Pelodiscus sinensis: one gene and its partner. Each later gene encodes a partner of the first gene's protein in a complex. Links are inferred from orthologs where the notes say so. Each region holds a gene or a part of one and is shown in the gene's direction. Other genes may lie near its edges.

The links. Proteins that work in one complex are often made in the same cells at the same time.
Region 2: the proteins of S100B (region 1) and CAPZA2 are in contact, whole or in part, in a crystal structure (PDB 3RM1), measured with the Bos taurus proteins. The link is inferred for Pelodiscus sinensis from reciprocal best matches to the Homo sapiens genes S100B and CAPZA2. Residues at the interface, in NP_001029727.1 of Bos taurus: Ile37, His43, Phe44, Leu45, Glu46, Ile48, Lys56, Val57, Thr60, Phe77, Met80, Ile81, Ala84, Cys85, Phe88; in NP_001013016.1 of Bos taurus: Thr267, Lys268, Ile269, Trp271, Ile274, Leu275.

What each region holds. Positions count from the first base shown.
Region 1 is NC_134717.1:65,124,378-65,131,868, reverse strand, and holds the start of S100B (protein S100-B), read left to right. Parts: upstream 1-4,469; 5' UTR 4,470-5,177; intron 5,178-7,491. UniProt on the Homo sapiens protein: Small zinc- and- and calcium-binding protein that is highly expressed in astrocytes and constitutes one of the most abundant soluble proteins in brain.
Region 2 is NC_134711.1:45,678,684-45,685,833, reverse strand, and holds the start of CAPZA2 (F-actin-capping protein subunit alpha-2), read left to right. Parts: upstream 1-4,092; 5' UTR 4,093-4,187; coding exon 4,188-4,241; intron 4,242-7,150. UniProt on the Homo sapiens protein: F-actin-capping proteins bind in a Ca(2+)-independent manner to the fast growing ends of actin filaments (barbed end) thereby blocking the exchange of subunits at these ends.

The sequences.
Region 1 (7,491 bases):
GCTAATGTGCATTGTCCCACAGAGCTGCCCACAGGAGGTAGGAGTGGAAATGCTGCTGTGGGGGGAAGCAAAACCCCAGATCCCCACCTTCCATGAGAAGGAAGGGGAGACCCCAGGTGCATGAATGGGCTCTAGGGAACAGGTGTGCCCTGAGGCAGAACTCCAACAAGTGTTTCTCCAGCACTGCAGGCTTTTTACATGGTTGCTTGTGAAACTTTCCCAGAAATGGGACAGTAATTCTTCCCTCATCCACCGGCCTTTTCTATGTAACAAAAGCTTCTCCCTGCCCTGTACACCCGATGGAGCTTTTGTGCTTAGGTCACTGGGCTTTGGATCACAGTCCCAGTGAGGAAGGAAATGTGAGTCTTTCCAATAATTTCCATGGGCTTTGGATCAGGCCAGCCCAGCAGCAATGAGGGTCTTTAATATTCTAGTTGCTTCACTTGGGAGTCGGCTGAGAAATCCAAGTTTGTTTCCCTACTTTGGTAAGGTCCAGGATCAGCTCAGCAGTGAAAAGGGGAGGAACACACCAAGGAATTAGTGTCGGAGGCAGCTTTCTGCCCTAGAAAGTGTTTTTCCGTGCAGCTGTGTTTGCAAGCGAGCCCTGGGGACTGAAGCAAGTGGCACCTGCTCCCCCAAAGATCTCCAGATCTTGTTTCTGTTCTCCCACAGCAGAATAGACCTGCCAGTCACTACCCCATTGTCAGGCAGAGCCTGGTGCGCATATGCTTATAAGGGACAAAGAAATAAATTGGCTTTCTCATCCGCAGCAGCTATAAAAGGGCCTCTTTGTATTTCCCTCAAGAAGAGGGTGGGGTGCAAATGGAGGAGTGAAATATTTGAGACAGCACAATTTTATGCGTTGCTCCCTGGTCCTTTAACCATTTGGGGCCAGATACTCTTCAGTACAGTCTAAATTCAGTATTGCTGAAAGTATTGTAAGGGTTGGGGAATAGCTGAGTGTGCAGCATGCACAGCCAAGGGCAGAGCTGAAGGTGTTCATTTCTGTGCCACGCAAATCCTGAGCACCCCAAACTTGAGATCACTTGAAAACATTGGCTGTGGATTTTAAAATAGCCCTGTCCCTTTAAGAAGCTATTAGGTATGTAACTCTGAGAGCGATGAAGTCATGGTGCTGGCCAAGGCGAGTGTAGCAGTCTGGCAGTACGCAGCGTTTCTGCGCACACCCCCGGCCCTTTCCGTCTGGTCTGTCCTTGAGCTGGAATTGCCAATTGCGCAGCAATGTTCATTAGTGAGATGGGTCTGCTCCAGCCCCCACTGAGACCATTAGAGCTGGGCCAGGCCTGGAAATCCAACCCAAGGATTGATTCAAGCTGTCAGAGCATTACCCCGTGGTAACAGCGACGCCTCCCGACAAATGTGCTTTCAGGGCCAGAACACCTTCAGCTCTGCGCTTGGCTGTGCATGCTGCACACTCAGGACTGACAAGCGCAGCCCAGTTGCCAGCATCCAAACTAGCCACCCTTCAGAGCCTCTTCTTTCTGCGGGATAATCCTGGGCACCACTTTTCCTGAGCCAGGCTGCCCGCGCTCCGAGATGGAACTTCTCAGCCAAGCGCTGCTGTCGTGCTTCTTGGAAGGGCAATGGGGCAGAAGACCAGTGAGTTGCGTAAGGGGAGACAGCTAATACTGCTGCCCACTTTCAGTTGAGATCTCTGTACTGGTTGGCTTATTGGCAGTGGTGACCCAAACTAATCCCATGTGATCCTGAAGGCCTTGTCTACATTGCTGCTTTCCTCACTCCCATTAGCTTAGCTCAGAGCCACAGCAGGAGTGCTAGTGTAGACAAGCCATGCCTTACACCACTATGCCATCCAGCCCAGCTCGGAGCCCTTGGAATAATGGGCCCCCAGCACTAGAGATGTGAATTAATTGTGAAGGTGCCAGGAACCATCTGCAACTGAGCATCCCCCACTGGCTCAGCTGCAAACAGCCCTCACATCAGCTGCTGGGAAACCCCTTCCCTCTTCCCTTCTGAGGAAGACTTAGCTTACCTGAAGGCTACATCTAGATCCCTTATTTTAAGAGAGATAAGGGATCTTTCAGAAAAGGCTTTATTTTCCGAAAGATCCGCGTCTAGACTGGTGCTTTTTTCCGGCAAAGCTCCGTGCAGAAAAAGGGATGCAATCTCGACGTAGCCGAAAGGTCTACACGAGGGCAACCAATATAATGGAAGAAAGGACAAAGCAGGAAACCTGTTTAGGACTTTAAACCTTGTGCATTGATGCATGGCCTGGCCTGTGGAAGAGAGAAAGTATCTACTAAGATTGACTAGCTATGACCATGGAAAATATATAGTTATGTTTTTCACTGCTGGCTGCTCTTTCCTTCACTTGCATCCTAGACTTAAGTGAATATAAATATCCTTGAAAAATCAGGCAGTGGCTTCCTGCCAAATGCTGTTGGCTATCAAAATCCCACTTACTAAAAGCATGCAGATATCCTGGCCAGAGCTTCCAGATCATAGATGGCACTACATTTTACAATTCCATTACTGGATACAAGATCAATTGGTGGACCAGACTGCGTTATCTCAGCTGCTATTAAAAGAATGCCTAGACTTATTGGCTGCGTCTAGACTGGCATGATTTTGCAGAAATGCTTTTAACGGAAAAGTTTTTCCGTTAAAAGTATTTCCACAAAAGAGCGTCTAGATTGGCACGGATGCTTTTGCGCAAAAGCATCCATGCCCAGTATAGACGCGCTTTTGTGCAAGAAAGCTCCGATGGCCATTTTAGCCATCGGGCTTTCTTGCGCAAAAAACTAAGATGCTTGTGTACACTGGCCCTCTTGCACAAGTATTCTTGTGCAAGAGGGCTTATCCCTGAGCAGGAGTGTCAAAGTATTTGCGCAAGAAGCACTGAATTCTTACATTAGAATGTCAGTGCTCTTGCGCAAATTCTTGTGACCAGTGTAGACAGGTGGCAAATTTTTGCGCAAAAGCAAGTGCTTTTGCACAAAATCTTGCCAGTCTAGACACACCCATTGGCTGTGTCTAGACTGGCCGCTTGAATTTCCGCAAGAACACTGACTTCCTACTGTCTGAAATCAGTGCTTCTTGCGGAAATACTATGCCGCTCCCATTCGGGAAAAAGTCCTTTTGCGCAAAAGGGCCAGTATAGACAGCTCAGATTTGTTTTGCGCAAAAAAGCCCCAATCGCGAAAATGGCAGTCGGGGCTTTTTTGCGCAAAAGCGTGTCTAGATTGGCACAGCCGCTTTTCTGCAAAAAGTGCTTTTGCGGAAAAGCGTCTATGCCAATCTCGATGCTCTTTTCCACAAATGCTTTTAACGGAAAACTTTTCCGTTAAAAGCATTTGCAGAAAATCATGCCAGTCTAGACGTAGCCGTTAACTACTCTCCCCAAATCAGGTTCCCCATCCCACATGGCAGATATTAGTCTCATGGCTGACTGTGCTTTGGAAGATGCTCCGGTCCTACAGGAATGAGGGCAGGATACGAACCTTTATAAAATAGATTAAAATCTGTATCTGGGGACAGAACAGATTTTTTTACCCTGTGTCTCATCTATTTAAACTGTAAACTTGTCAGGGCCTGTCTCTGACAATGTACCTGGGGCGAGTAGAATGGGGTCTTGAGCTCAGATTAAATTCTCTTAGACTCAGGCCAGTGCGGCCACATGAGAACTTGGACAGCTCTGGATTTAATTGTCACTCTGGAATTAGGCATGAACTCCAGGTCTCTGCTCTGGGGAACGCAGGAATTCTCTAAGGGCCATCTAGTCTGGTATTCCCTCTGTCAGGGGTAGGGGAGGTTACCTATTCAAATGGAGGGGGAACTCACCCACTTTCACCTCGCCGCTGTTTCCAATTAACCACACGGTGACATGTCCCCCTGCCAAATGTTTGACTGTGTCATCTTTGCCCCCTGCATTTCTCATTTGTCTTCCCTTCCCTTGCAGAATAGCGGAGCGGCTGCGAACATCCCTCTGGAACACATTCGTGAGCCATCCCTCTGAAATACGCTTGCTCCTTTCCTGTCCCCGTGCCACTTCTCTCGCCCGCTTCCCTTCATTTCCTCACACACACACAAACCATTTTTGCTTCTCTGCCCCCTCTCCTGGCTTCTCCTTCGGAATGGCCTGCTTCGCTCCCCAGGACAGATTCTGACAGCAGAGAGGGCAACAGCTTCCCTGTTTACGCACAGGCCCCGAGCTAGCAAGGGACCTGCCCTCTGAGCCGGCCTGGCCATAGGATGAAATGGGGCAGCTGCCTGTAGGCCCCACGCTTTTGGGGACCCCTCAGTGCCCCCCCCCAGCTGTCCTATGGTCGGAAGGGACCTGGGGATCACGGGGCGTGGTGCAGGTGGCAGCAGGGGTCGCCGCCCCCCCCCATGCACGCGTCACCACACTGGCAGCAGGCGCCTGCCCCATGCTGCCCTGTCCTGGCCCTCTGTGCTCTGTGTCTCCTTGGCACTGAGGGGGGTGGGACACAAGCCGGGGAGCCAAGCCGCTTGCCCCCGGCCAAAGCCTCTCTCTTACCAGCCCCCGGTCTGCCACACCATTAGCACAGGGCCCAGCTACGCTGAGTGGGGGTCGAGACACCGTGTCCCCCGCAACTGCCAGGAGAATGGGGGTGGAAAGCAAATGAGCTGGGGCTGCACAGGGCAGGGGACTGTCACAGGATGGGGGGCGCGATAGGAAAGGGACTTGGCCCCTCCCCCACAACTAATTAGCTGCCTCCTGTGGTGGTGTGTCAGGTACCCCCCAGTCCTGCACCCCGGTCCGCAGCAAGATGTGACTCCGCCAGCCAGTAGAACAGGAGGGTTTATTGCTTCTCCAGGACACAGGACAGACATGATGTGGCTACAGGAGTTGGGGCCAGGCAGCCTCAGTCCCCTTGGGGTAGGGGTCCAGCCCCCCCCAGCCCCCAGTACTCAGCTTAGTCTCCGCTCTTCCTGTTTTCCCAGCCGAGCCACACCCTTCCTTTGTTCAGACCCCGTCCCTGGACAGGTGAGACCCGGTTGGGCCACGGACTACGTGACGTGCGATTCCTCAGGGCGACCCCCCGCTGGGCAGTGCTACAGACACAGGCCAGGAAGGGTCACTCACAGCCCACAGCGACCAGAGACAGCCCAACCAGAGTGGGCCCAGGGCCACCAGAGTCAACAGCCCCCCACTACGTCACAGCTCCCATGAGGTGGGTTTGACAGCAGGGGCCGGGGGAGGGTGGTAGCTGCAGGGCACCATGGCCTCTGTAAAAAGCCAGCGGCAGCGCCAACAGCTAAAGCAAGACTCCTACAGGGAGTGGGGTGGGGCTGGAATGGGGGCCCCCAGTCCCCTAGTGAGTACCTGGCTGGGGACACCTGTTGGATGAGGGCAGGACTGTGCGGGGCAGTGGGGGGAGGCACCAGGGCCTGTTGCATGGATTTGATTTGTGTTGGGCAGAGTTGGAAAAAACTGAGGTAAGAGCCTGAAATCCTGCTGTGGGGAGCTTTACAGAGGCAGCAGCACAGGGTGGGGTGGGGAGTAAATCTCAGAGGGTTAGCAGCGTGAGTCTGTAGCTGTGCAAACAATGAAGTCCAGAGTTATTTGGGCATAAGTTTTTAAGGGTCAAAACCATTCCTCAGATGAATGGAGGGGTTTTACATGTGACTTTTCTTACTCCATTGCACTGATTAAGAATGCAATCAAGTCCCTGTAAAATTACGCAAATATTGATTCAGCAGCACTGAGAGAGCAGCATCGCAGACTTTCAGGATCAATACTACCTTGATTTAGACTCAGCTCATTTTCAAGATGCAGCTTTGCTAGGCACAAAAAGCCAACTGAAGCCCGTGAAAATCAGCTTTGTTCTGCATGTAATCTGTGTTTGTCAACTTCCACTCCCCTTTGCATATCCAGCAATAGCAAGAAGGGGAAGGTCATGTGTGGGGTTTGTGCTTGGTTGCTGGTATTTCCCTGATGTCCCACCCAAGCTGCCATGTTTACAGTACAACACCCACTTTGGTGCATTGCAGCAAGTTTGCTCTGGCAGGTGTCATTCTCCAGTGGCATCCACGCGATAGGCACTCTTACAAGAAACAGCCCTGCGCTGGAATGACTATTTAGAGGGACTTTTGCATAGCACCACGTGTTATACAAAACATTATTTGATGGTTGGTTATTGCAAACACAGCAACTGCCAAGTGACTCAGCAAGCTGGCCTGAAGCCCGCTGGGGTTCGACCTCAGATATCCGCACAAAGACAAATTGGATAATGCGCCTGTTCTGCATTCCGTGGGCGTCTGTGCATATGCAGACTAGTTGTCCACTGTCATATCCCAGTATTAGGGTTGCCAGTTGTCCAGTATTCACCCGGACAGTCCAGTATTTTCACCTCTTGTCCGGTAAAGAAAATTCAGAAAATACCAGACCCCCAAGATGTCCGGTATTTTCTGATTTTTTTTCCTGGCCAGGCAGTGAAAATTCCGGTGTGACGTAGTGTTGGTATCTTGCTGGTTGCTAGGCTTGGGCTCTGGGTGACCTCCGCTGGCAGCTGTTTGTAGCACAGCCCAGCAGGACAGGGGATGAGTCATTATGCAAGGGGCTCCCAACCTGTCCGACCAGTTACCTCCCAGGGAGAGAAACGAAGGAAGGAGGGGAGGCCAGCCCCTGGCTGGGGGGCAGGGCTGGAAGGGATGTTTTTAGTTTCTGTCTGGTATCATGGAGGAAGCAGCCTAAACAACAGGCTGGGATCTAGGGACCCAGTCTCCCCCATCTCAAGGGGGGCTGAGGCATCCTAGGCCTGCCCTGTATCCGGATTACATCTTTGCTGTGCTGTATCCTAGAGAATCAATAAACTCCCTCTAGTCTACTGGCTGGTGGAGTCTGTTCGTGCCACTACGGGGGTGCAGGAGGCGGGGGATCCCCGACGCACCGCCACAGCCGGGCATCTGGCAACCCTACAAACACTCAGCACCCAGCCTCTCCCAGCCCCATGTTTACCTGGTTTCGCAAGACTGCCGGCACAAAATGGCTGCCAGCAAAAAGACCAAGGGGAAGCAATGATTCCCCTGGGTCTTAGTGCTCAACCCCTCCCCTGTTCCTAGCTCTGCACTCACTCTTAAAGGACAAGCTGTCTTAATGCTGTTTTATTTTATATATATAGAGAGAGAGATAGAGAGAGAGATTAATAAGTCTTGGACTCCTTTTTTTTCCTACCCCTCTTTTTGTTTTCCTTCAACAGAATTTTTTCCTGGTGTTTTTTTTTGGGGGTGGGGGGGAAGGGAGAGGAGCAAGTGTTTGGTATTTTTGTTTCAACCATCTGGCAACCCTACCCAGTATGCGTCTCTGGGTGGTGAGTACTAGCACTAAGCAGGGGATTCAGTTCTTTTTCTGAAGAAGCAGAAGATAGTTTTAGCAGCTGTGTTTGAATAAAAAAAGCTGTTGCCCACTCCAGGCTTTGCATGAGGTTCTATAGGGTCCCCCTTCTGACTCTGGGCCATCGAGCACCTGTGCCTCTGAACCTATAA
Region 2 (7,150 bases), on another chromosome or scaffold:
GAGGTAAAGTATATCTTTGAAGCAAATATTGCAAAAGTTTAGTCATAGTCCATGGTCTGACAATGCCTTAGCTTATCTCACACCATGAAGATCTTAAAAACAAATTGGCGAAACATTTACTGGTTTACAAACCCTTAATCTCAATCAAAAGAGATACTGCTGCAGTCTGGCTGTTACGAAAAGCCTGTAATGAGGAATTAAAAAAAAAATAGCTGACTGCAGAAATGAACATTTGGATTTACCCAAGAAAAGGAACCAGAAGGTTTGGGGGCTAGTTAAAGAGCCCACCCTTCTTGCTAAATTAGTAAGGGACAAAACCTGTGTCTGTGGAAAGGGGTCATTCAGCAGAGAAAGCAGGATCAGGCCCAGACAGATAAGAAAGCAAACAAGCAAGTGAGAGTGGGAAAGAGGATCAGAACGCTGAGGCTGTGTCTACATTGGCATGATTTTGCGCAAAAGCACCTGCTTTTGCGCAAAAACATGCTGCTTGTCTACACTGGCCGTGAGTACTTGCGCAAGAACACTGACATTCTAATGTATAAAATCAGTGCTTCTTGCACGAATACTCTGACGCTCCCGCTCAGGGATAAGCCCTATTGCGCAACTGTTCTTGTGCAAGAGGCCAGTGTAGACAGGCAACATTACTTCATTGCGCAAGAAAGCCCGATGGCTAAAATGGCCATCGGAGCTGTCTTCCGCAAGAGAGCGTCTACACTGGCATGAATGCTTTTGCGCAAAAGCACATGCTAGTGTAGACGCTCTCTTACTCAAATACTGTAACACAAAAGCTCTTGCGTTAAAGAGTATTTGCGCAAAATCTTGCCAATATAGACATAGCCTGAGGGCACAGTAGCAGGAATAAGGGTGTGAGTGTAAGTACAGGCACTGGAGATATTAATTCTTGGAAAATTACTTGGAATGGTGATCTCTAAACTAATTAAGTTTTCATTTGAAAGACAAAGCAAGTGATTAAGGGAAAAATAGTGAAAAGTTAACTCTGAGGAGTCTGGAAGGACTTGAGCAATTATTACAATATGCTAGAAGGAAAAGTGTTATAAGAAAATTTATGCTAATGCTATTGTTTAGTCCTGGAATAAATTTAATGTTTCTAAAGTAACCCTGTAACAATGTATAATGCATTTGATTTTGTTTTGGAAAAGGAAAACCCTTTGGCTGTGTCTAGACTGCATCACTTTTCCGTAAAGAATAGGCAGTTACCCAAAGTGGTATGAAACATAAATAACAGATAAACCACAGGTGTGTGGGTGTGTGCGTGGGGGGAGGGAGGGGATGGTCCTTGTTCCTAAAGCACACACAGGGGCAATAATGGGAGAAAACACATAGAATCATAGAATACTAGGACTGGAAGGGACCTTGAGAGGTCATCGAGTCCAGTCCCCTGCCCTCATGGCAGGACCAAATACTGTCTAGACCATCCCTGATAGACATTTATCTAACCTACTCTTAAATATCTCTACAGATGGAGATTCCACAATCTCCCTGGGCAATTTATTCCAGTGTCTGACCACCCTGACAGTTAGGAACTTTTTCCTAATGTCCAACCTACACCTCCCTTGCTGCAGATTAAGCCCATTGCTTCTTGTCCTATCCCCAGAGGCCAAGATGAACAAGTTTTCTCCCTCCTCCTTATGACACCCTTTTAGATACCTGAAAACTGCTATCATGTCCCCCCCTCAATCTTCTCTTTTCTAAACTAAACAAACCCAATTCCTTCAGCCTTCCCTCATAGGTCATGTTCTCTAGACCTTTAATCATTCTTGTTGCTCTTCTCTGGACCCAATTGAGGCCTAACCAGCGCAGAGTAGAGCGGAAGAATGACTTCTTGTGTCTTGCTCACAACACACCTGTGAATGCATCCCAGAATCATGTTTGCTTTCTTTGCAACAGCATTGCACTGCTGACTCATATTCAGCTTGTGGTCCACTATGACCCCCAGGAACCCTTTCTGCCATACTCTTTCCCAGACAGTCGCTTCCCATTCTGTACGTATGAAACTGATTGTTCCTTCCTAAGTGGAGCACTTTGCATTTGTCTTTATTAAACATCATCCTGTTTACCTCAGACCATTTCTCCAATTTGTCCTGGTCTTTTTAAATTGTCCTCCAGATTAGTCGCAACCCCTCCCAGCTTGGTATCATCCGCAAACTTAATAAGCGTACTTTCTATACCAATATCTAAATCATTGATGAAGATATTGAACAGAGCCGGTCCCAAAACAGACCCCTGACGAACCCCACTTGTCATGCCTTTCCAGCAGGATTGTGGACCATTAATATCTACTCTCTGAGTATGGTTATTCAGCCAGTTATGCACCCACCTTATAGTAGCCCCATCTAAGTTGTATTTACTAAGTTTATTGATAAGACTATCATGTGAGACTGTATCAAACACTTTATTAAAGTCTACGTATACCACATCTACCGCTTCTCCCTTATCCACAAGACTCATTATCTTATTAAAGAAAGCTATCCGATTGGTTTGACATGATTTGTTCTTTACAAATCCATGCTGGCTGACCCCTATCACCTTGCCACTTTCCAAGGCTGTGTCTAGACTGGCAAGCTTTTCTGGAAAATCAGCCATTTCCGGAAAAACTTGCCAGCTGTCTACACTGGCCGCTTGAATTTCCGCAAAAGCACTGACTTCCTACTGTAAGAAATCAGTGCTTTTTGCGGAAATACTATGCTGCTCCCGTTCGGGCAAATGTTTTGCGCAAAAGTGCCAGTGTAGACAGCTGAGATTTGTTTTCCGCAAAAAAACCCAATCGCGAAAATGGTGATCGGGGCTTTTTTGCGGAAAAGCACATCAAGATTGGCCATGGATGCTTTTCTGCAAAAAGTGCTTTTGCAGAAAAGCTTCCGTTGCCAATCTAGACGCTCTTTTCCAAAAATGCTTTTAACGGAAAACTTTTCCGTTAAAAGCATTTCTGGAAAATCATGCCAGTCTAGACGTAGCCCAAGTGTTTACAGATGATTTCCTTAATTACTTGCTCCATTATCTTCCCTGGCACAGAAGTTAAACTAACTGGTCTATAGTTTCCTGGGTTGTTCTTATTTCCCTTTTTATAGATGGGCACAATATTTGCCCTTTTCCAGTCCTCTGGAATCTCTCCTGTCTCCCATGATTTTCCAAAGATGACAACAGGAGGCTCAGATACCTCCTCTATCAGCTCCTTGAGTATTCTAGGATGCATTTCATCAGGCCCTGGTGACTTGCAGGCATCTAACTTTTCTAGGTGATTTTTAACTTGTTCTTTTTTTATTTTACCTTCTAAAACTACCCCCTTCCCACTAGCATTCATTATGTTAGGCATTCCTACAGACTTCTCGGTGAAGTCCTGAGGCTATTACCTGGAGACAGGGGCCATCATTGCTGTGGGGGTGAGGCACACCTATTGGGTCTTAACCCCTTGTAACAACTGAATGTTTGTGTCAGGGTATATTTGAAACCTCGAGCACAGTTTTGTATTTTCTCTGCAGGTGCTATTAATCCCATGCCTATGGATGGTGGAAGCGTGTGACAGTCAACATGTTATTTAAATAAGAATAAATGTAAAAACAATTGCTTCTCCATGTGGGATATCTGTCAATTTGACCTGTCCTCCCAGGGCTCAAATACAGTATAGCCCTTATATCTGACCCAGTGTGGCGCTTCCCTTCACATGTATCACAGTCAGCTACAGAAGCGGGTTGTGCCCTTGAAAGCTCATGATTCCATCTACATTTGTGCTAGTCTCTGAGGTGCTGCAGGACTGGTCCTTGGTTTTTTCCATTACAGACCAACAGGGAGCGGTGCTGGGAGGATGCTCAATGGCGAGAGGCCGGAAATCGGCTGTATCCGGGTCATCACCGCCGGCCCCGCTCACGCACAAGGGAGCTGAGGCGAAACACGTTGACCGCCCCCTCCCGCGCGAAATCTACCCGCCTGGTTTCTGACCCTCCCCCGGGGACCCAGCTCGCCTCAATCTGCGGGCGCTGCGCGAGCCCCGGCGAATGCGACTCCCTCTCCGCTCTGCCCGCCCCTCGCTGCGCGCACGCGCGTACGTGCAATGGCCGTTGGCCAAGCCGCGGTCCCGCCCTCTCGAGCCGCGCGGGGAAGGCGCCGGGAGACACGTGAGAGGGCCCCGCCTTTCCTGCCGGAGGGAGGAGCCTGCTCGGCGGCTGTTCATGGCGGGGCGGAAGATGGCGGACCTGGAGGAGCAGCTTTCGGATGAGGAGAAGGTACCGCGGGCCGGGGCAGCTGGAGCCCCCGGCGGGCTTAGCGACCGGGATGGGGCCTCGCTGCCTCAGGCGGCGGCGTTTGTATTTTTAGCTTCTTCCTTTCCCGGCGCTGTCAGTCAGAGTCTGCCGGCAGCGGGGCCGGCCCAGGGGCAGCTCCCGACGCGCCTTGTACGGTCCGAGGGCTGAAAATAGGCCCCAGGCGCCGGGCTGGGGGCAGGATCCGGTGTCCGATGCGTGAGGCCGCCCGGCCGGCCCAAAGAGCTCGGCCTCAGGCGCTGCCACTTTCCTTCCTCCTCCCCCCGCCTTTTCCGGGGCTCGCCCGGTCCTCGCCCTGGGGCGGCTGCTGCCTCTTGATCGGGGGTGCGGAGAGAGCGAGCCGGGTGGCGTCTCGGAGACGGGCCCTTCCCCTCGCCCGCTCGGGCCGCTCCCTTGTCTCCAGACCTCCTCGGAGGCATAGCTCGTAAGGGCCGAGTTCAATGTCTTCCTCCCGGCCCCCATTGCAAAGAGCCTGGGGGCGGCGTCTGTAGGAGCTCCTCTTACTTCCGGGGATACAGTGAAGGGAGAGTTCTTGCAGGTTGGAGGAGTGAGCCTCTGTGTGAATCACCTCCCCCCACCCCATTGATAGGCGAGCGTGGGAGGGGACTTCAGATCCCATCCTTAGAGGTGAATTGTAAGGGCAGAGCAAATACATTTCCAGGAGACTCAGTGTTTTGGATCAGCGAGATGTTTATAATTTTTCCCTTGGCTATGTGAAATCTTTCTTTGCTCACTTGGCCTCTGTGGTTTGAAAATAGCTTCCTAAAATGATGATGCATAAGGGAAGGGCATCTTGTAAAACCCGAGTGTTAAAGCTACTCTTTTCAGTCTGTCCTCCTTCTCTTGGACCAAGGCACATTGCAGTTGCAGATGGAAAAGGAGGCTTCAGAATCAGGATGTGGAGATATGCCAACATCATGGTGGTGTATAGCTCTCATGTCCTTATGTAACTCCTATTGCTCATCTCTAATAAATACAGTTTTAAGGCTGATGAAGCTGTAAAGGCAACTCAAAAGTGTGGGCGATTTTAAGGAATTGAGAGAGATCTTACATTTCCTTGAAATTAAAGAGAAGACAGAAAATGCCTTCTGTAATGTTAATTGTAATGTGGGAGCCTTCCTACATATCAGGCCTGCTAGCAGTGGATTTTAGAAGGAGATGGGTAAATGAAGTCACTGAGAGCAGTGAAAGGTATAGTATAGGGACGTTAAATATTGGTTAATTGAATAGTCAAGTAACCCCATGAATTCTTATCGGTTAGTTGACTATTCTATAGTGTCTGGGGGTGGGGCTGGTAGCCAATGCACTCTGGCCTCACTCCTGAACAACCAAGCTCCCCTTGTGGACTGGCTGCTTGTTGCCCAGTGTTGTTGACTCTGGTAAAGAGGCGAAACTGAGCTTGACTGTCTGCCCATGTGGCTCCTAGTACACTTCAAATGTAGAGCCATAGCGGGGGTAGGTCCAGGACCCAGTGGGAGCCAGGACTGAGCCAGGCTGCCTGCCTGTGCAGCTCCTAATATAATTTAAATGCAGAGCTGCAGCAGGGTAAGTCTACTAAAAATGTACTGGCTGGGGAGGGGGTAGGGTGGTGAAGGAAATGTATATAGTCAATACCATTAACCTATAAGTTTTTGCATATCAGTTAATAGATTATGCTATTACATTCCTCATATAGTAATTTAGCACCAGAGCATAGAGTGGTTCATAGCTCCTAAGGGCAGAGACATTTACGGCTGTAGTTTTTCCCTTTAATTTATTGAGTACATTGTGTGTGTGGTGTTAAAAGCAGCAGAAATAGTAAAATTAGCAACCGTAAAGGCTAACAGATACAAATTTGTAGTTGACTAGTCCCATCCAAGCCTTGTATGGAAAAGTTACTTTAAAAATAGGGAAATAAATTGGATAGGATAAACTTGGAAACAACATTTACTTATCTGGCTGAGAAGTACTTATGGCTACTTGTCACTGCATTGCCATATCTTCACTCTGCTACAGTAAATAAGTTTCTGCCCCCCCTCCCCTCCCCAAATCAATTGACTCTCCCTCCACCTAATTGAGTCTAGGTTCTTCTATCACCAATCTAATGAAGTTCTGAGGTCTCTTCTTGCAATTCTGTTTCTCCATCCAAAATGTACAAATCCTTGACTCTCTCCTCCTTGCCCAATAATACATTCTGGGCTTGTGAAATATATAACACATGCACCTCAGTGCTGTAAGAAGTCGAAGGGGTAGCTGTGTTAGTCCATTTGAAAAATGAGTAGTCCTGTGGCACCTGAAAGGATACCAAAGGTATAAGATCATGAACTTTTGTGGGTAAAACTCACTTCATCAGATGAGTTGGAGTGAAAATACAGAATCCAAAATATATATAATATCAAAAACAATTGTCCATTACCTGTCAATTATAGCACCCTTGTTATTGAAGCTAATTAAGTAGGCTGTATGTGTCCCATTCATGGCTATTGATGTGAAATGCAAATGTCAAAGGCATAGGAAATTGGCTTTGTAGTGCATTAACCAGTTAATATATTTGTTAAAGACCAGGGAGACAGTATCCAACATGCAAATGAACTCCAGCTCAGCACTCTCTCTCTGTAATTGAGTGGTGAAATTCCTTTATAGAAAAATGGCTTCTTTAAAATCCATTATAGAATGGCCAGAGAGGTTTAAAATGGATCGGCAACCTATGGCTCAGTAAGAAGCCAAATATAGCTTTTTTTGCAGCTCGAGCTCAGGCCCTTCCTCCCCTCCCCCCCAACTTCCCCTGCAGTAGGGAGCCCATGTCGGTACTCCAGCCTTGTGATCCCCTGCAATATTGGAGCACCAGCTTCTTGCGGGGGGAGGAGCCCCAAGCCTCCCCACTGGATCCAGCT